Drosophila melanogaster: one gene and its partners. The protein of the gene in region 1 interacts with the protein of each later gene in a pairwise test. Each region holds a gene or a part of one and is shown in the gene's direction. Other genes may lie near its edges.

Region 1 (5,150 bases):
ATCCGAATGAACCGAGGGAATCTCAAGGAAATGCCCCGCTCTCCGTCCACAATGCCAATGGCTGCTCGGTGGATCGGACTGAGCGACAGATCCGCGCATTTGACTTCCCACACCTGGACCGGTTCAAACCAGTGATCGGGCTCCAGGCTGGGGTCGTATCTGTAGTAGGATTTGGCGGCGCTGGTCACATGTTTGCCCAAAAACTCGGAATGCGTTTGCAGGTCCTCATCAGTGAAGCCAGTTCCAATCTTGCATATGCTCTGATACTCCTCGTTTTCGGTGTCATAGCAGGCAAGCAAAAATCCTCCGTAGGTTCCAGTTCGCCGGCCCTTGCCTTTGTAGCCACCAATGACCACCAAATCGAGTGAGTCGCCCACATTGGATAGGTAGTCCTTCTTCAATTTCAGCCAGTTGCGGGATCTCTTGGCAATCTCATAGGTGGCCTCCTCATCCAATGTTTTGACCATGAGGCCCTCGCAATTTCCTAGTGAAATAAAGCTTAAGTAAACAACTTTTAGGTTGGTTGGCAGGGCAAACCTTTGATAGACTCCTCCAGGAACTGCTGCACTTCGTCTATGTCATTGGTGTCCAGAGCAGTGGCGAACTTCCACTCGCCCTCGACCTCTTGAAAGTGCTCCAACAGGAGCTTGCGACGCTCCGACAGGTTTTTGGTCACCAGAGCAGTGCCATTGATGTACAGCAGATCGAAGATGTAGACACAGACTTGGACCTTGATTTCCTCGATATCAACGTTCTTCCGTTTGCGCGTGCTGAGCACCTGAAACGGCAGAATCTGCTTGCGCTCCACATCCCAGGCCACAATTTCGCTGTCTATGATGTAGGACTTTACGTCGCCCTTGAGCAAGGCAGTGCTCCTGGCAATCAAATCCGGATATTTTGCCGTGTTGTTCTCGGAGTTGCGCGAGAATATGCTGATCTCCCCCTTCTCGTTGCGGTGGATTTGGGCCCGCTCTCCATCGTATTTCCACTCGCAGGTGATTTGCATGCCGCCGAATCTCTCAAATACCTCATGGACCCCCTTGGTGGGCTGGGCGAGCATGGGCCTCAGCGGCATGCCGGGATGCATGGGGCAGCGTTCCTGCAGCTCCTTAATATCGTACTTTAGAATGGCCGGTATAATGATATCGTAGTTGGGACACTGACTGCAAAAGTTCGTTAGCATCTGAATTATTAGCTGGTTCTTAAGTTAGTTCTTACCAGTATGCAGTTTTCAACAGCAAAGTGGTGTCGACTATTTCATCCTTATACACATCCGGCACCTTGCTAGCCTTGCAATCATCGATGTGGTTCTTTTTCACCAAACCAATGGCCAGCGCTGTGAGCAAACTCTGCTCTGCAATGCCAATTCTTAGCTTGCCAATCAATGAACGGATAAAGAAGCGAGCCTCCGACGATCGACAGGCCACAAACATATTGTACACCAGGTCCATTTTCGACTGACCGGATAGCTTGGCTATTTCGCGTAGCTTCCGGAACACATCCCTCACATTCAGAGGCGCTGGCTGGAACATCATGCGCTGTGAAACGCGCGACTGCTCGGCCACGATGCCCAGATCCCCGGTTAGCTGCGTCTGCGATTTAATGTGAGCCAAATTACGCCCCGTTGCCTTGCAAATGGCCTTCATCAAGGTGGTCTCGGCAACGCCCAGCTCCAGTCCCTCGTAGGCGGGCGCCAGTTGGTTGATGCTGAGGTAGACGCTGGGCACAAGATCCTCCGGACTGACCAGCATCACAGAGCAGAAGAAGTTGCTCAGCGTGTCGATCATCTTGAGCCGGCCTTTGGTCTCCTCGATTACTTGAAATGTGCGGGCCAGTGCCAAGTAGGGAGTGCTGGAAAGTGTTTCCTTTGATATAATTCGCCTTGGAGGCTCAAAATCCTGCACTACTTACACCTTTTTGTCCTTCCAGTAGGCATTCTTGAGCGGATGATAGGAGTCGGCGGATGGATCGTAGTTTTCCACATCCTCCTTAGTAGCGGCAGTGGAGTTGAGACCTATGGTTGTGACCTTCTTGTCAGTGGTCTTGTCATCGACTTCCTTTGGTTCCTTCTTAACATTTTTCACCGGACTTGTCTTCTCCTCGGAATCCACAGACATAGGTTCTACCTTGGGCTTAGTTTCCGGGGAGGCACTTTCGCTCTTGATGTGGGGTTCATCTGGGAGTTCGGTCTTCGCATCAATCCTATGATTTGTCGAGGAATTTAGTAATGAAACAAGAAAACAGCGGCACCATTTACTTAGGAACTTTCTTGGGCGGCGAGGGGCTGTCGGTGGCATCGGATTTCTTCTTGAAGAAGGAGCTGAAACGGGGGATTGTTAGATTGGCAATACTTAGCATTTGTTAAATCGTAAATTACGTTATAGACTTTTGCATTTTGTGGCAATTCTGTGTTCAAATAAATACAAATTGCAATGCAATTAGTTCCCGCCAGTTTCTAGAGCTGGTCTTCAGTATCGATATATTGAAATGGAAATGCTATCGAAGTTGAAAATTTTATTAGTAAACATAAATTAAATGTTTATGCTACATAATTGAGAAATATTATTACGTACAATTGTGGCCATTTTTATATGCAAGTCAATCGACTTAATATTTCTCAAACAAATCATTAATAGACAAAAGGAAGAGTTTATTGTCATTCGGTGTGACCGCAGCACAGTCGTTGATAAACACGGGAAAACATCCACGGGGCAGTGTGACCAGAGCGCCGTTAAATTCACAAATAATTGCAATTCGCAATAGCACAGCCAAAACTGAAGATTACATACAATTTACAATGGCCGACGAGAGCATCACGCGAATGAACCTGGCGGCCATCAAGAAGATCGACCCGTACGCCAAGGAGATCGTGGATTCGTCCTCGCACGTCGCCTTCTACACGTTCAACTCGTCGCAGAACGAGTGGGAAAAGACCGATGTGGAGGGAGCCTTCTTCATATACCACCGCAACGCGGAGCCCTTTCACAGCATCTTCATCAACAACCGACTGAACACCACGTCCTTCGTGGAGCCCATCACCGGCAGCCTGGAGCTGCAGTCGCAGCCGCCGTTCCTGCTCTACCGCAACGAGCGCTCGCGCATCCGCGGCTTCTGGTTCTACAACAGCGAGGAGTGCGACCGCATCAGCGGCTTGGTGAACGGGCTGCTCAAGTCCAAGGATCAGGGAACGAATGGCCAGGCCCAGCGTCACGTCTCCGCGCCCCAGCAGCCAAAGCAGGACAGCAGCCAGCCGGCCAGCATATTCAACATGCTGACCAAGGCCCAGAAGGACTACAATGCCCAGGTGAGCGGCGGGCAGCCGAAGACGCCTTCGGCGGAGAACGTAACGGCCGGCAATGTGTTGAAGTTCTTCGAATCGGCCAAGCAGGCCACGGCAGAGTCACTGTTCCACCGCGTCCAGCCGCTCTCCGTGGACCAGCTGGAGAAACAGCAGCGGGCAGCCACGCCTGGCGAGGATCTGTTGCCCCCGGCAGGCAGGGACAATCACGAGAGCCGGCTGTCGCCCTTCCAGAAGATGCAGCAGCTTAACATTCAGCTCCTGAGCGACCTGAAGATCGGTAAAAGCTACGCTACGGCTCAATCTCCGACAGTCGCCCCGTCCTCGTCGGCGCTGATGGCCAACGACGATGCCGGCAAGTGCTTGCGGAGACTGCTGGCTGGCGACAAGCCCGGGCCGGCCCTCATGCCGCCCACCATGTTCGACGCGCCCAACAACGGCAATCCGGAGCCACAGCAGCCACAGCAGCCACAGCAGCCACTGCTGAACTCGACGCAGTTCGTCCAGGCCTTCACGTACCTTATCCAGAACGATAAGGAGTTTGCCAACAAGCTGCACAAGGCCTACCTGAACGGCTGTTCCAATCTACTGCTGGACTCCAGCTCCACATATCAATAAACAGAAATATTCAACATTTCCGAATTGCAGCCCATATTTTCATTTGTTCGCATGGAGTTCGAGTTCAAGCCGAGTTAATTTACAAAATGTAATAGCTGTAAGCCGACAAGGGCAGTCGTAGATTTAAAATCTAGAAGCCCCGCCGGAGAAGGACGGCATCCATTTCCAGAGCAACCTTAAGAGTTAACTAACGTAGTTGGTTTTGTGAAGTATTCGTATTTATTTACAAAATGGTTAACTAGGCCGAAGGGGCGTAGAAAAGGTAGTTGAATGGCAAACAGAATTCAATAAACATTAATTTAGTAACAATAAATAACAACGCTTTTATTTAGGCCAATACCTTCAGCTTGCAGAGCAGGTAGTACAGAAAACAAAACAGCCACAGGCTGAAGTCGACGTGGCTCCTGCCCGCCGCCGCGGACGTGGCCACCGTGGTCAGGTTCTTGCCGTATCCCTCGAAGGACACCACGCACTGGTAGGCATCGGGATCGTCGTCGGTGTCGTAGGCCGCCACCACGGCGCTGCCATCGAAGTATCCCTCCTCGTTCTCGTACACCATGGGCTCCCGCTTCACCACGTCCATGTCGTTGGATCTGTAATAGGAGCGGAGTTGAGTTGGGACGTTGTTTACTACAAGGCTGTCTTACGACAAGGCAGGCGCTCGTCCTTACATTATCGTGATGGTGGGCCTGGGATACACGTTCGTCACGGTGCAGTTCAGCTGCGTCTCATTGTGGATCGTCTTGTGGGACAGCTCCAGGGTGTAGTTCCTCAGGTCTATGACCTGAACCCTCTGGTGGCTGGAGAAGGTGTTCAGCGAGGTCTGCACCACGCACTTGTAGTCGCCGGTGGTGGCGATCGTGGGGTTGATCAAAGCCAGCGAGCTGTACTGCTTGCTCGGCTCCGTGGAGCTCTCATAGGTGCTGTCAATCTCGTTCCTGAACTCGGGCTATCAAGGAGGGGAAAGCGGTTAGTATCTTAAGCGCACCACACCGTTTGGTTCACTCACGATGGCATATGGAGGTGTTCCGAAGATCCACTGGTATATGGACTTGTCGTCTCTGTACCATTTGACGGTGATGAACTTCGGGCTCTCCTCCACCTCGTAGTCGCAGTCCAGGATCGTGGGCTCCATCTCCTCGTTCTGAAGGACTATAATCTTGTCCTCGGACTCATCCCTCGTGGGATAGCATAGCGCATCTGGGGGAGAGCGAATATTACTGATTAGAACGCA
Region 2 (5,631 bases), on another chromosome or scaffold:
ACAGAAACAGTGGCACAGGCACAGAAACAGAAACCCAGGCCACTGGGTACTGGGAACTTGGAACTGCAACGCCAATAGATTTTCGTGTGAAAACTCGGCGAGGGTTGTTGTTGTCGTTGTTACCGTGGCGCCTGCGGGTAAGTAACGGCTTTTTGCCCGCCTTTTGTCACATGGTGAGAAAAAAATAAACAAAATATCACTTGGAACATGCCTTTTAAATGTATGTATGTATATCTATTATAAAAATGGATCAACATTCAGGGCACCCAACTGAACCACGAACTATTTAGTTACGCAAATTCAACAGAAAACCATTCAGTAGCAAATGTCTTAGTGATCCATAATACCTTGTACTTGTACAATAATCTATTTACAATCCACAGGTTTTTGTTACACTTCTATTAAAAGTTAAACGACCTTTTCGTTAAGATTGTCATGTCAATTGAATTGTATTATCAAATGTTTAAAGCTTGCTGAATGGAGTTCGTTTCAAAATGCTAGAAAGTGCTATTAAAATAGAGGAAGTAGTAAAATAATAATCGAAGTAAAAGATCATACTTAAAACGGATAATCTACAATGTTTTTTCCGGTGCAGTTGTTGTTGCCAACGACAACAAGACGACACATACACATGTACCTACATATGTACGTATGTATGTGCGTTCTGTTGCGTGGGCGTTTGAGTGTAACTGTAACACCTGCTGCCGCTATTAACACAGCATTTCGCTGCTCTCCAATTTTAATTTCAGGCCAAAGGAATGAAGCCGGAACACCTTTCAACCCCGTGGGCCATTGTTAGTGCTCCGTGGCTAGGGATAGATGGCTACTGTATGGCCACTTGCTGCACGGCCATGAAGCTACTCCTCCCACACGATTTGCTTCACGCTCATTTAAATGCCAACGCACCGCAGGGAGGAGAGAGCAGGGCACTTCACTTCGGCGGCTCGGCTGGCTTATTTACATATTTTCTAAATGAATATGGGCCCCGCGAGTTTGCAACCCCGACCGGCGGTGGCAAAGCCGAGAAGCGCATTCAGTTGCAACGGCCGCGGCAGCTGGCTTTCCCTGCACTGGATTTCCACTTCCTCCTGGTCGAAGCAGCCGCAGCAGCAGCAGCAATAACAATCAGGAACAGCAGCAGCAGCAGCAACAAGAAGCCGTCAAACGCCGCAACTAATTGATATAATAGTTAAAAGAACAAACTAACGAGAAAGAGGTTGTCGTCGTCGAACGCGGCGCGTTGGAGAAGTGCAAAACCTTTCCAATTTGAAAATAGTTTTCCTGCTATGTGTGCTCGTTCCCACAAGCGCGGCAATACCAACTCATACCAACCCACGGCTCCAACACCACCAGATGCAGCAACAACTGCATCAACAGCAACATCGGCTCAGAACAAGCACAAGCAGCGAAAGCCTGCACTTCGCCAAGCGGTGATTGGGAAAAGGGGCTGCAGCTGGAGTTGGAGTTGCAGCCAGAGTAGAAGCTGGAGCTGGAGCTGGAGAAGATGACAATGCAGCGATTAGAGCAATGCAGAACTTGAACTCTACGACGGCGGCAGCTGGAAAAATGTTTGCCCCGATCCCCGGGACACCGACTCAGTCACTCAGTCCGTCCCAATGCGCGGCATTTCCGTTCGGAAAAAAAAGAGGATGCTGTCGAGAAGGAAGGCCCTCGATCGATTCGATGCTGATGCATTCTGCAGGGGTGGGGGGAACGTAGTGATCATGTTTGTAGCATCTAAATAAAGTACCTGTAATGGTTTTCATTAAGTAATGCGTCGTCTTTGGCTTCTTGGTTTATGAACACGGCAAATATTTAATGTGAGATAAAAAATGTTCAATATTCAGATCATTGACCTAAACAACAGAAGAACTTAAGGATGTCAACAATATATAAACTTCACAAATACTGCTTTCTTTGACGTTGTAATATAAATAAAACGTTTTTATATTAAATTAAAAATCTTCCTTAAATTCATCTTCCATCTTAACATAGTTCGCTGCTGTTAACATCGATTAGGCTGCTATTCGCAGAGATTATGTTTTCCCTTTACAACACTGTATTTAAATTTAAATTATGAAATATCAGGCAATACTAAACAGTATGCTAAATATAAATATAAAACGAGATCACAGATATCTTCATAGGGGAACACTTTAAATTCAAAAAAATACGGGTCGTTTTAGAATAAACGCACCTTATTTGAAATTGGATCTTTCTTACTAACGATCAGTTAGTGGTGGAACGCCTTGCGCTTAACAGCACGCTGTTATTGAAACCCCACTTATTGGACTTTATTTACAAATTGAAATGTGATAAATAAATATACCAAAAACGATAATGATTTATGTTTTTAGGTATAATTTAACATCGAGGTCGAATAGAAATCATCGATGACCAAAATGGCCTAGGAAATATCGATATATCGCCGTAACCATGATGACTCCTGCAGCCCTGTTTCCGTCCCTTCTCTTCTTCGTTTCCGGTGAGTGCGTGTGCTCCGCGTTTTTTCGCTGAATTTGCCACTATATCGTATTTAATACTGTATTTGCAGGCAGACGATTTAAACGGCGAATCCACCATGGTGAAAGGAGTACGTACGCACAAGGGCAGTGAGGATTTTCCAATCCGTGGCTTCGAGCCATGTGAATTTGCGAATTTCCAGATGCCGGTTAGCTGCCACGATATCACAACTAATCCACCCATATTTGCAGACTCTGTACACTTACCCCGAGAACTTCCGGGCCTACAAGGCGCTCATCGCAGCCCAGTACTCCGGAGCCCAGGTGAAAGTGGCCGACAACTTCAAGTTCGGCGAGACCAACAAGTCGGCTGAGTTCCTCAAGAAGTTCCCCGGTGGCAAGGTGAGTCCGCTTTTTTTGTGGGTGTGGCTAGTGCCAGGTCATCAACACGATATGTGCCCGTAGGTGCCCGCCTTTGAGACCGCCGAAGGACAGTACTTGAGCGAGTCCAATGCCATCGCCTACCTGCTGGCCAACGAGCAGCTGCGCGGCGGAAAGTGCCCCTTCGTGCAGGCCCAGGTCCAGCAGTGGATCTCCTTCGCCGACAACGAGATTGTGCCTGCCTCCTGTGCCTGGGTCTTCCCCCTGCTGGGCATTCTGCCGCAGCAGAAGAACAGCACTGCCAAGCAAGAGGCCGAGGCTGTGCTGCAGCAGCTCAACCAGAAGCTGCAGGACGCCACCTTCCTGGCCGGCGAGAGGATCACATTGGCCGACATTGTGGTCTTCAGCAGTCTGCTCCACCTGTACGAGTACGTCCTGGAGCCCAGTGTGCGCAGTGCCTTCGGCAACGTGAACCGCTGGTTCGTCACCATCCTCAACCAGAAGCAGGTCCAGGCCGTCGTCAAGGACTACAAGCTGTGCGAGAAGGCCCTGGTCTTCGACCCCAAGAAGTACGCCGAGTTCCAGGCCAAGACCGGAGCCGCCAAGCCCCAGCAGCAGGCTCAGCAGCAGAAGCAGGAGAAGAAGCCCAAGGAAAAGAAGGAGGCGCCCAAGAAGGCTGCCGAGCCCGCCGAGGAGTTGGACGCCGCCGATGAGGCCCTGGCCGCCGAGCCCAAGTCCAAGGACCCCTTCGATGCGCTGCCCAAGGGCACCTTCAACTTCGATGACTTCAAGCGCGTGTACTCCAACGAGGACGAGGCCAAGTCCATTCCCTACTTCTTCGATAAGTTCGATGCCGAGAACTACTCGATCTGGTTTGGCGAGTACAAATACAACGAGGAGCTGTCCAAGGTGTTCATGTCGTGCAATCTCATCACCGGCATGTTCCAGCGTCTGGACAAGATGCGCAAGGCGGCCTTCGCCTCCGTTTGCCTGTTCGGCGAGGACGGCAACAGCACCATCTCCGGTATCTGGGTGTGGCGCGGACAGGATCTGGCCTTCACGCTCTCCCCCGACTGGCAGATCGACTACGAGGTCTACGACTGGAAGAAGCTCGACGCCAAGAGCGAGGAGACCAAGAAGCTGGTCACCCAGTACTTCTCCTGGTCCGGCACCGACAAGGACGGTCGCAAGTTCAACCAGGGCAAGATCTTCAAGTAATCATCTCTGCCTAGCCCAGCTCCGCTCAAAGCAGCAGCCGCCCTCATTTAGACCAACAACAACAACAGCAGCAGTAACAATAAAGTTTGAGATTTAAAATGCAGGAAGAGCACAATGCCCATTTCTTAAGTTCCAACTGATAAGTACACTAAAGATATCCAATATCTGTCGTGCTGCCTCCCACGTTTGGCGGAATCGTGTGTCTCGCCTCCTGCATTTTGTACTGGAGAATTTGTTTGTAACCGCCTAAGCATAACACAGCATGATATTGTCAACGGAACAGCCGCCTGCAGTCAGAAAATATTTATAAAAAATAAAAGGTTTTCTATTAATAACAGCACGGTTTTCTCTCACACGTGTGTGTATGTGTGTGTGTGGTTTATTTGGTTGTTGGTAAAGGTTAGGTCTGGCATTTATTAGTAATTAGAATTAAGCATATCGATTTGAATTTATGTTTGGGCAATTTTATTGGCTCCTTTTAACTTAATCCATCAATATCATCAATTATTGCTTACAATTACAAGGGTTCAAACAGCTTCGGCCACTACTATTGGTTTTAAAAGCAAACTGGAGCTCAGCGAGAGGAAATGCTAGAACGTTTGTGTATCGATGCACCGCCGCAATCTACTTCTTGATGACAATTGGTCCGACGTTGTCTCCAGTCTGCTTGTTGTGCTCGCCATGACTGCCATCGCAGTAGGGCCACTGCGAATAGAGGATTCAATTGAAAATTTTGTTCACAATATTTCAGAGGTTAGAATGCACTCACGTTCTTGGTCTTCCAGCAGCGACAGAAGGCCGCCTTCTCCGCAATATCCTCCACGTCGATCATGTCCACCACCTTGGGCTCGTTCTTGCGGATGTGGTTGTTGCAGCGTCCGCTGTTTTTGGCCGCGCAGCTGGCCCGTGCCGCCGGACAGTAGGCCAGGTAGGCGGTGTAGCCGAGTCCGGCCACCACCACGGTGGGTGGGATCAGGGCCAACCAATCCTTGACTGCAAACGAAACCAGGTTAATACGGAATGCAGTGCATTTTAAGCTTTATAACTAGATATTTTGGTCGATCAGCCGTAACCGGCACAAGGTCGTTCCCTACACACATATTGGGTTATAAACGCACCAAGATATGCGCATATATGTTTATAGGTATACCCATGTTGGTATGCCTGTATTATGCGTCTATCTAGTTGCCTATCTGCGAGACAAACTTGCTCCAATTATAAATTTCTTGGCGAGCTCAGCAGTTGTTGCATAATCGCTGCAACTTTTTTGCCTGGAAGTGCACACACTGCACTTCCAATTCCCGTTAGCAGCTCCGCAATATCACGCCACATTTGCACCTTAGTAGTCCATTTAGTTGGCCCCCCTAGATGCTGCGTCATTATCGTGGATTTGGGTTTATGTGGGGCGCCCTTTGAAGGCAAATCAAATTCCAATGGGCAAAACCACGCTCATTGCCCAAACTTACAGGAGAGCTTAAACCAGCCGCCGATGCTGTCGGGAACCGGCAGACTTGACAAGTAATTGGGCAGCGAGGACTTCACCAGATGTGATATGGGCTCCATTTCGAAA
Region 3 (9,439 bases), on another chromosome or scaffold:
CTGAACAACTACTAAAAAAAAAACAACTATAAGTACTCTACCATACAATACAATACCATATACTATATATTACTTGGCATTAGGTCGTAGTATGCGATTATTGTTCGCTAGAGCTCTGTGAGTGGTGAGTCAAATGGTATGGATACAGTGAATGGTGGTTAAGAGGAACTACATACATATTTTTTAATAATATGTATGACAATGCAAAATAATCCTCGTTTATTGCCTATTGGCTAGTTGCTCTTAACACACTTTTACTGAAATAATAACAATAATAATCATACCAACTGATTAATGCTTTGATTTTGATTGCAGATTGGCCGCGTGACTGCTGATAAGTGCATAGAAGTTTAGGAATCGTCTGTCATTGATACTAAAGGATAGCTGGAACTGATCTTGTATGAATGCATATGCACGTGTGTGTTTTGTAGGGGAATTCTAAGTAGTCCCGAGAGCTAATTAAATTTTCCGTTCTGTTATGCGAAATACAAGCTTGTGTCGAAAACAAATAAAGCGTTCCCGTTGGAATAAAAAATACATGAATATATTATTGCACAATCAGTGAAAGATGTTTAATCGTCAAAAGTGTTGAAATTGGACTTCTAGGACAGGCGAACGCTCACTCCACCGCCGCACTCGCCCTTGGACTTCTGCTCGAATGCTGCAAAAGGATTAAATCATATTTAATTCTGTAAGGATATTGTAGAGGATCTCTTACGATCGTCGGCATGCTGGCAGTTGTAGTTGGCCATGACGCACGGGCTGCCAAAGGTGAGGAGGCGCTCCTTGCTGCTGTTTTTGGCCTTGGCACAAACGGGCTCGTAGACTTCACCGCAGTTGTGCTGGCAACTGTTGGTGGCCGGCTTCTTGGTGTCCTTGGCCGGAGTAGCCAGGACGAATGCCAGCAAGCACAGTGCTAAATAAGTTTGGTCATGTTAAAATTCTTAAGCCCGCTCAATTATGTTTGTTTAAATGAAAACTAGATAAATATGTATTAGTACTTTATTTAATTTAATTGCATCACCGTTCGGAGCAAATTATATTTTTGTAGATCGGAATATAATTCTGTCCGTGAGATCATTCATTTGGGCTTTTGGTCTTAATGGATAGCCAATTATTTTTGCACTTTCCAATCATACAACAAATTGCTTCGTTTGATCCAAAATTGTATTTATAATTTTGTTTATTTTCGATCCCTAAACTAACTATACCCTTTGTATTTTTTATAGATGCTAATGGAAAGAGTTGTTTTTATGTACCTAGAAAAGCAAACAGAGCGAAACGCATTTTGAATAATAATCGAAATTTCCACGAAATCACAACTAGAATAAAAAAGATTTGACTTTCGCAAAAACCGGCTTCGAGTCGCGTTTGAAGTGAACTGAATTTTAGACTGCGAGATTGATCACCTTTATATACAAAGCCGGACTCATGAACAATAGAAAAGCAGCACAGACACAGCCGCAGAATATATGTATAAATGGGCAAACCGGCGACACATATAAGTAAGTGTGATAGGAATCGTATCTCTCACCTCAACCCACACAATCGCGGATCGGTGTGTATTAAAAACAAGCAAGTAAACATAAAGTGCACTTGTTTATATGGGTAACCCAACGGGGGATAACAATGGTGGGTCAACGAGATGATAATGACGATGCTGTCGCAGCAATTTGGATAGATAATGGGTTTGATCAGGCTGGATCTGAGCATGGGCGGGTTTTGAGTGACACGCGTCGCCGGTTGTAAGCGGTTCTCATCATCCTATTTTATTTTATTTATCCTCTTGACGGGGCATCCCACTATACCCCATTGTGTCAGATTTCTTGATGCATTGAATTTGTATAAGGTAATTACTTGTGTTATTCAGCTACTTCGGCTGATTTCAAAAGATATGTGCAACTGATCCTGTTCAATAAAATGTAATATCACATTTATCTTCTCTTTTAAAAAGATTGTGTAACACTAATTTATTTGCCAAAAACACAAAAATAGCAAGGGCGTTGAATTCAATTTGAGCTTCAACCATTAAAATTAAGACAGTAATCCGAATATGGAGAAGATGACATTCTTTAATTGATTCAATTTCGTGTTTAATGGCTTAATTTTTAATTGCAAACGTAATGCTCTCATTTTACGTGCACTTAATCTATTGAATTTACATGCACAATTTTTATTAACTATTCATATAATGATATACAAAAACAACCGCTTATGCGCCAAACTAAAACAAATTGAATATTTATTTACATAAGATAACTATAATCCGGATTTAGGCCGAAATCCATTCCAAAATGCCAGCTGTCGTATTATATTCAATTTCAAATTGCCGCGTACTTTGTTTTCTTATAACGGCAGATGTAACAACTCTAGTAGGTAGGTAGTAATCAAAAACAGGTAGATTTAATTTGTTTTACCAATATTGAACATTTGTTTCACGTGCAAGTCCCGAATCCACAACATTGACTATTTTGAGTAAAAACAATAGGTTGGTCATAAAAAATAATTACTAATTTACTAACCGCGGTCGCCGCATGTCTGAACAGGCCTCCAGCTTTTCCGGCTTGAGTATCCACTGATTCACCCGTGTCTCGAACCCAGAGTTGCCTAAACATATTTCGATGTATACATAAAGAGGGAAATTTATTTTTTAGGCTTGGCAATGCCGCTGCGGGCATATAAAAGTCCGCGCAGTCGTGCGCTTGTGTGAGTCATGGTGGAAAATTCGAGGCAAGCGTACCGATGCGCAAAGAACAAGCATAAGCGAAGAAGATAAAGATATCGATTAAAATTTCTGCTACAAAAATAAATATATATGTAACGCATATTGTAAATGTTCTAAGTTAAGTGACATAAATCAAATATTTGTGTAAAGTTTAATATTTTAATACGCGTCGAAGTACAACGAGTGAGGCTACAGAAGAGCACACACTAAAGTGGAGTACTTGGCGAGCGCAAATAACGGAAATCAAATTCGAAATAAACGCTGCGCAATAGACGGTGGTGTACATAAGAGTTTAACAAAATCCGAATCAGAATCAGTTGAAAGTGTGATTTTTTTGAGCCTTTGTCTGTAAGTGAAGAGAAAGCTTTAAGCGGAATTACATCTATATATATATATATAAATATATAAATACGAAGCCAGCCCGTCGCCATTTTGAAAGTGATTTTACAAAACACACACACACACATATATATACACAGCTGCGAACACATCCACATATAACCCCAAATAAAATCCGAAGAAAAGAGCAAAAAAAAAAACGCAAAACAAACCAATTTCCGCAACATTTTAAAGTGAAACATCCAAATCAAGGCAACTTTTAACCCAAACTCAACCCATTTTGTATATAACGCTTGTCGAAATATCGAAATCTGTATAACGAAGTGGCTGAGAAAACTGCGACACACACACGCACGCAAGCACACTCGTTGGTGTGAGGTCTACGGCAAAAAAGTAAGTCGCAATTGTGTTAGTAATCGCTGCGTGTGTATGTATGCGCGTGTGTGTGTTGATTCATTAATTCAGGTATTCTCGCAAAATAAATGTACATATGTATCTTTATATATACATGTGGGGTCGTCCCTCTGACGTCCCAAGTTTGCTTGAATAGCCAAACAAACACCTTTTGTTGACGTAAATAGCACACACAGTCTACACACAGTCACACGCTAAAACGATAATGCAGCCGTTACGTAGTTAGCACTACGTTACAGGTTGTTGCTACCTGGAAATGTAATCGTTACATGTCTTATTTCCCCTTTTCGGGTTCCCGTTTCTTATTATACACACACACACGCGGCCATCGAAATAGAACTGTTTTGTTTTACCTTTGGAACGTTACATTTCGTACTGAGGTAAAAAAGGTATTCTGTCGTATACTGACGTTTTTTCCATGTGTATATGTACATATTATCTTTCTTACTCAACCTAAATTTAAATATAGACCTTTTAACGTAAGAATGTATTTCAATAAACTGCATTGTAATTAATGCGGTTGATGCTGATTTCATAAATAGTTTCATAAGAAATAAGACTTCAACTATTTTCCTGTTAACATAAGCCAATATGTATCGTTTCGAATTTTCAATGGTTTCTTTCGCTCTTCTCCAAAAAACAGGATCAGCACGGCTTGGAATGCGAAAGCAGCAGTTAAATCAGCGAAGAACAGAGAGTTTGCGAAATTATAGCTAAGGATAGCTTAACCGGAGTAAAAAAAAAATAAATCAACAGACTGATAAACAATACATAACGTTACAAGTAAAACTAAAAGTAAAGTAAACAACAGCTGTACATAAAACATAAAGGAGAAGTGGAAAAGCAGCTACGTGCTCAGCCGCCCGTCGCCCTTTTCGTTTCCATTTTGGAGGTCATCTCAACTTCGGCGACTATCAGCTACCAAAGAAAATAGAGCGGCGCAGCTAGATCAACATCTCAATAGCAATAGCAGCAGAAGCAGAATCAGAATCAGAATCAGAAGGCGTTTGGTTTCGATTTATAAAGAATTGATTTAAGTGCGTGTGATATTTAACGTTAAGCATTAATTTAGCGAATTAACCAAAAACAAAAAGGGAAAACAGCAGAAATTTTAATAAGAGAAAGAGAAGAGGAGATCGGAGAGAGAGAGATATCGATCCAGAGATCGGAAAGCGACGAAATTACTATGACATACTCGCACAATAGCGTTAGAAACAACATCAGAATGACAACCGCATCGGCCACCAAGTCCATACGATTAAAAAAGGGAGCAGCATCAGCGACCTCCGCATCCAACTCATCCACCCCCTCGCCCACATCCGCACCCGTCTCCCCCACATCCGTATCCGCATCCGCACCAGCAACGCCCTTGGTAACTGCACATTCCAACAGTATTGCCAGCAGTACAAATAACGCCCAATTCCTGAGCTCCTCGCCCACGAGTCTCGGTTTTGGCCTGGGTCTATCCGCTCTTGCCACGCCCCCGAACCAGAGGCAACGGCAACTGCAGTCCCAGTCGACCGGATCCAAGAACAAGTATCAGCAGTCGCAGCAGCAGCGCCAGTCGCCGCAGCAGCAGCAGGGATCCTCTGTAGGCGGTGGAGGCTTCTTCTTTGCCAACAACAACCGAAGGAACGGAGGAGGACGTTCGCCCCAGGGAGCTATGCAGGTTCGGCAGTCACCAGCCACCATTTTGGGTGGAGGTTTCTCGCCGGGAATCGTCGGAGGATCGGCTCGCAAGCAGAGGAAGAGCCCTTCGTTGGGCGGAAAGATATCGCCCCAGCACCAGATGCAGCAGCACCCACTCATACCCACCGCACTGACGCATTTCGCGGGCAGCAAGTGCTTTGATGCACCAGCTCCAACGGCGCTGCCCAAGCCACCGCAGCACTGGACGTTGTCCAGGTCGGAGGGTAAGCTTCCCATGATGATGCCGTCGATGCCCAAGTTCCAGGTGCCGATGCAGACAGGCCGCTCGAAGCGGAATCTCCTCGATGACTTCGACACGCACAACCTAAAGTTGCTGCTCAATGTGCAGTCGTAACCACACTGGTGCTGGAGGATCAGTGTCTGGAGTAGGAAAGCAGGAACAGGATCTGGATCTAGAGCTGGATCTGAAGATGGATCTGGAGGACCGACATGAATGGCAAGAACACCCGGTGGACCCCGAACCCGTCAATGAGTTGCAAAAAAAAATCGATATGAACATAAAACCAACAAAAAAAAATTAACAAAAACATAAAACAAAAAATGGAAAATGAAAAAACTTTTACAAAAAAAGCGAAAACATTTCAACTGGAAATTTGAACTTTTTTAAACAAAAACAAAAAAAAAAAACAAGAGTAATGTTTGTGATCTCAAGTGTGTATCATAAAACAATTAAACCAATTTGAGAAGCTATTAGGTGAGAAGAGAAAAACTGTTTCAAGAAAAGAAAACTGAAAGCAAACAAAATACAAGTAAAAAACACACAAACTACTGTCCTCACACAACCGACCGACAAAAAAGAACATCAACAACGAACGACAATGAGAACAAATCAACACAGCGAAAAAGATGCAAAATTCCCCGCTACATAGAACATCTCCCCCAAACTCCAAAACTCCCCTGTCAACTTCAATGCGCAATCTTTATAGAGACAGCCAGCCAATCGACAAACTGCAACCAGTACAACACTCAATGGATGCCTGGCTGAAATACAAGGAAAACCAAATGGAAAGAGGACTTAAGCGAAGGAAAAGCCCGATTAGAGGAAGAAGAACTTTATATGTCTAACAACGGATACTTCACAACTGAACATTGTTTTAAACGTGATACGCAAATAGACTTGAAAATTAATTAATAAGTAAAATTATAAATATAATAATATTTATGAGTAATTCAAAAATGGACGCTAGAAGCGCAACATAACGTACAGTTTATGTTTATCCCCCGAAAAGCGGACAAAATGTGCAACGTACCTTAAATGTTGATAAAGAATAAATGCAGAGAGCAGCAAAAGCTAACAGAGTATATTCAAGAGACACGATAATACCTATTAACTAATAATAATAATAATGCAACTACTATAAATCGTATACCCACCAAATCACAAAGACTAATTCAAACAAAAACTCAACGACAACAACTCAACGCAGCCGCCGCAGCAGAGCAGCAGCAGAGCCGCAGCGCAAAATGCACTCAACTTGCCTATGAAAAGCAAATCAACACCTGTAACTCTCCTCTACCTTAAGATATATTGATCCACAATTGTATTGTAATTTTGACCAACCTAGATACTTCCATTACTTTTAGTTTTACGTCGCGCGATAGGGAAGCAATTGCCCAAAAATACTGAGCTACAAATGCGAACTGCAAACATGTTTAATTATTCTTAATGTGTAATTGCGAAATGGCTTTAAAAAATTCTAATTTAAACATTCTTGAATTGTACATAGAAGGGAACAACGCTAAAATGTTCAAATAAAATTTTCTAAAAACGAGAAATCGATAAACAATAAGAATAAGATCATAAGAAGATCAGCACTTGTAAATGTGGTAGCACGCTATTGGCGCAAGCAAGATTTTATTTAATCCAAAATATGTTTGATCTTGCGCCGAGCGGAAACAACAATTGTGAAAACAACTAAAAACTATATAAGTTGCAATCCCCAAAGCGAAGGCTTTACGAGAGAGGAAAAGATATAGTAATCGCGAGATGAGAATGAAATGAAACTACTTTATGTAAACTATTCGTTGATGCTCAATACTGAAACACTTGAACCCAGTACCTTATTTTCATTATTAGCATTACTTATTAATTGTTAATATTAATATGTATGTAAATTATTTAAGCCATCCCAAGCCTCCCACACTTCCAGATATCCTCAGCCAATCCAAAGTTATTTGTATTTTGCGTAGAAAGAGGCAGCGTGAGTTTTGTTATGTGTTTTTGCCAAGTGAATTGGCACCGAAGTGATAAGCCAAAAACAAAAGGAACCCCAAAATGTAAATGATAGTGGAAAATCCCAGAAATAAGATCGCACTTGAGTTTTGTTTACGCATATTGTTTAACTTCCCGAACCATCTAAATTATGAAACACGAGAATGAGAGATGAAAAGATATGAAACTATAACAAAACACTCGATGATAGTTTTAAAAATGTTGAAAAGCCAAAAAAGTCAAGTACTGTTTAGGTTTACTGAGCAAGTTGTCATATATTGGTAGCTTTAAAGCTTGTATCTTCAAGTTACACTACAAGTACACCCCATCCACCAACATACCCACTACTTAGAGTATTGAATCGCAGGGGTCACTCGAGCAGTGCTCGGGCAAGCCCCAGCTCACCCCCATTTACCCCCCTTTCCATACGAAGTACACACACACACACACCCCACAGAAAGACCCAAAACTTGTCGCGCAGAATTTTGCATTTTTTTTAAGTGTAAGCAAAACGTTTGTTACTTACTGGACGTCAGTTTAAGCGGAGAACAGCTTAGATTTCATTGAAGCAGGATAGAGATACAGATGCAAAACCTATTTGTAAAATTCAAAAGAAGAGAAAACCACTTTACTTAAAACAGACCAAAACAGCCCAGATTCGCCCGCTCTGCCTTGGACTGTGGGCACAAACGTTCCGGCCCGCTGACTTTTTCAACACCAATCAGTACAAAATAATTTCCATTTCAATGTTGGGAGCCCGAAACAAGATCGCGGCGGAGCTCTCCATGCTGCGAGTCCAAGGCGTTTGTGTCCCCAACCAAGGCGACTGCGAATTGAAGGCCTCTGAAATTATAATTCAAATTCAATTTTTTAATTTAAATTTAAAGCGTAACGACGACGATTCGACCAAGTTCGAATATTATTTTTAACCTCTTTTATTTAAGCCGAAACATGATTCGTCGTTCTAAAAACAATGAAAAGAAAGCAACCAAGCACTATGTATTTTTTTAATTTCTCCATTGATCTAATTTACAATTTAATTTGCAATTTTTTGTGATACTTTGCTATATTTTTAAACCTGGTATGTATACAAATTAAAAACAAATACAACTGAAGAGAAAACGATTAATTAAATACCCTTACAATTACCTTAAATGGACCATAAGATGAATGCGAATATGAAGAGCAAACTCGCAATTCTATATTGTAATTATAGAAACGATTGTGAATAAAAATCTGAGAAGAATTGTAAAGCAATATTGGAAATGTGTTAAATCCAAGTCAACTTTTAAAATTTGAGAAAAAAGAAAGAAAACCCCACAAACCAAACAACAACAACAAAACAATAGAAAAAAGAAATAAACAATTGTACATGGCTTTCGTAAAGAAATTTATGAAGGCTTTGTATGATTAACCAAAAAAAAATCCACAAATTTGTGTTTTTATTTGCGTTATCACGTACAGTTTTTCGTTGGCACTTTTAATTCCAGAGCTAATCGGCAAGATCCCCATACCCCGTACCCCCCGTAGAGAATCATAACCCCCTCCACATTCCAGACGATTCGAACAACATGTGCTCCGAAAAATTCCACTACGAGGTTCTCACATGTTTTTGTTTTTGAGCACGATATCTAAGCGAGCAACCAGAAAGACAGAAAGAACCACAATAAAATTGAAAACTAAAAAGCGCTTTGCTAGGAGATCGAAACAAAGGAAAATGCGCATATAGTACATATGCATATAAATATACATACATACATATTACATATATAAATGCAGCTGCATTTGTGCTGCGATTTCACAAACACCCAGATATTGCGACATAAATGCATGCAAAGTAAAATAAAACGATAAGCAACTTTACAGAGCCGAAGGGCATACATGTAATAGAACCATTTCCAACTCCGTTTCGATGTGAAAAACTATCCTGATTGTTCCTATGTTAGTTCTGAGTAGATGCAACCGCAATCGGATCGGCGAATCCATTAACAACTATGCAATAAGTGCGAATTGTCATTGTGCGTTGAGGAAATTTATAT

What was found. The genes of interacting proteins can lie anywhere in the genome.
Region 2: the proteins of DCP1 (region 1) and eEF1gamma interact in a two-hybrid assay, tested with the Drosophila melanogaster proteins (one large-scale study listed by BioGRID).
Region 3: the proteins of DCP1 (region 1) and aqz interact in a two-hybrid assay, tested with the Drosophila melanogaster proteins (one large-scale study listed by BioGRID).

Annotation. Positions count from the first base shown.
Region 1 is NT_033778.4:23,887,840-23,892,989, reverse strand, and holds DCP1 (decapping protein 1), read left to right. Parts: upstream 1-2,713; 5' UTR 2,714-2,797; coding exon 2,798-3,916; 3' UTR 3,917-4,226; downstream 4,227-5,150. Other genes in the region: DNAlig1 (DNA ligase 1), read right to left, coding at 1-484, 538-1,163, 1,219-1,851, 1,912-2,202, 2,258-2,320, 2,378-2,394; CG5597 (uncharacterized protein), read right to left, coding at 4,245-4,509, 4,588-4,865, 4,926-5,116.
Region 2 is NT_033777.3:29,217,716-29,223,346, forward strand, and holds eEF1gamma (eukaryotic translation elongation factor 1 gamma), read left to right. Parts: upstream 1-2,456; 5' UTR 2,457-2,485; exon of another isoform or gene 2,486-2,489; intron 2,490-2,548; exon of another isoform or gene 2,549-2,554; 5' UTR 2,555-2,581; coding exon 2,582-2,593; intron 2,594-2,714; coding exon 2,715-2,864; intron 2,865-2,927; coding exon 2,928-4,061; 3' UTR 4,062-4,394; downstream 4,395-5,631. Other genes in the region: Cisd2 (CDGSH iron sulfur domain 2), read right to left, coding at 4,686-4,766, 4,831-5,054, 5,528-5,624. UniProt on the Drosophila melanogaster protein: Microtubule binding protein involved in regulation of microtubule-based transport. Probably plays a role in anchoring the EF-1 complex to other cellular components.
Region 3 is NT_033777.3:8,813,946-8,823,384, reverse strand, and holds the start of aqz (aaquetzalli), read left to right. Parts: upstream 1-2,702; 5' UTR 2,703-3,073; exon of another isoform or gene 3,074-3,457; intron 3,458-3,747; exon of another isoform or gene 3,748-3,767; intron 3,768-4,121; 5' UTR 4,122-4,664; coding exon 4,665-5,522; 3' UTR 5,523-9,439. Other genes in the region: CG8369 (uncharacterized protein), read right to left, coding at 603-661, 719-916, 1,260-1,287.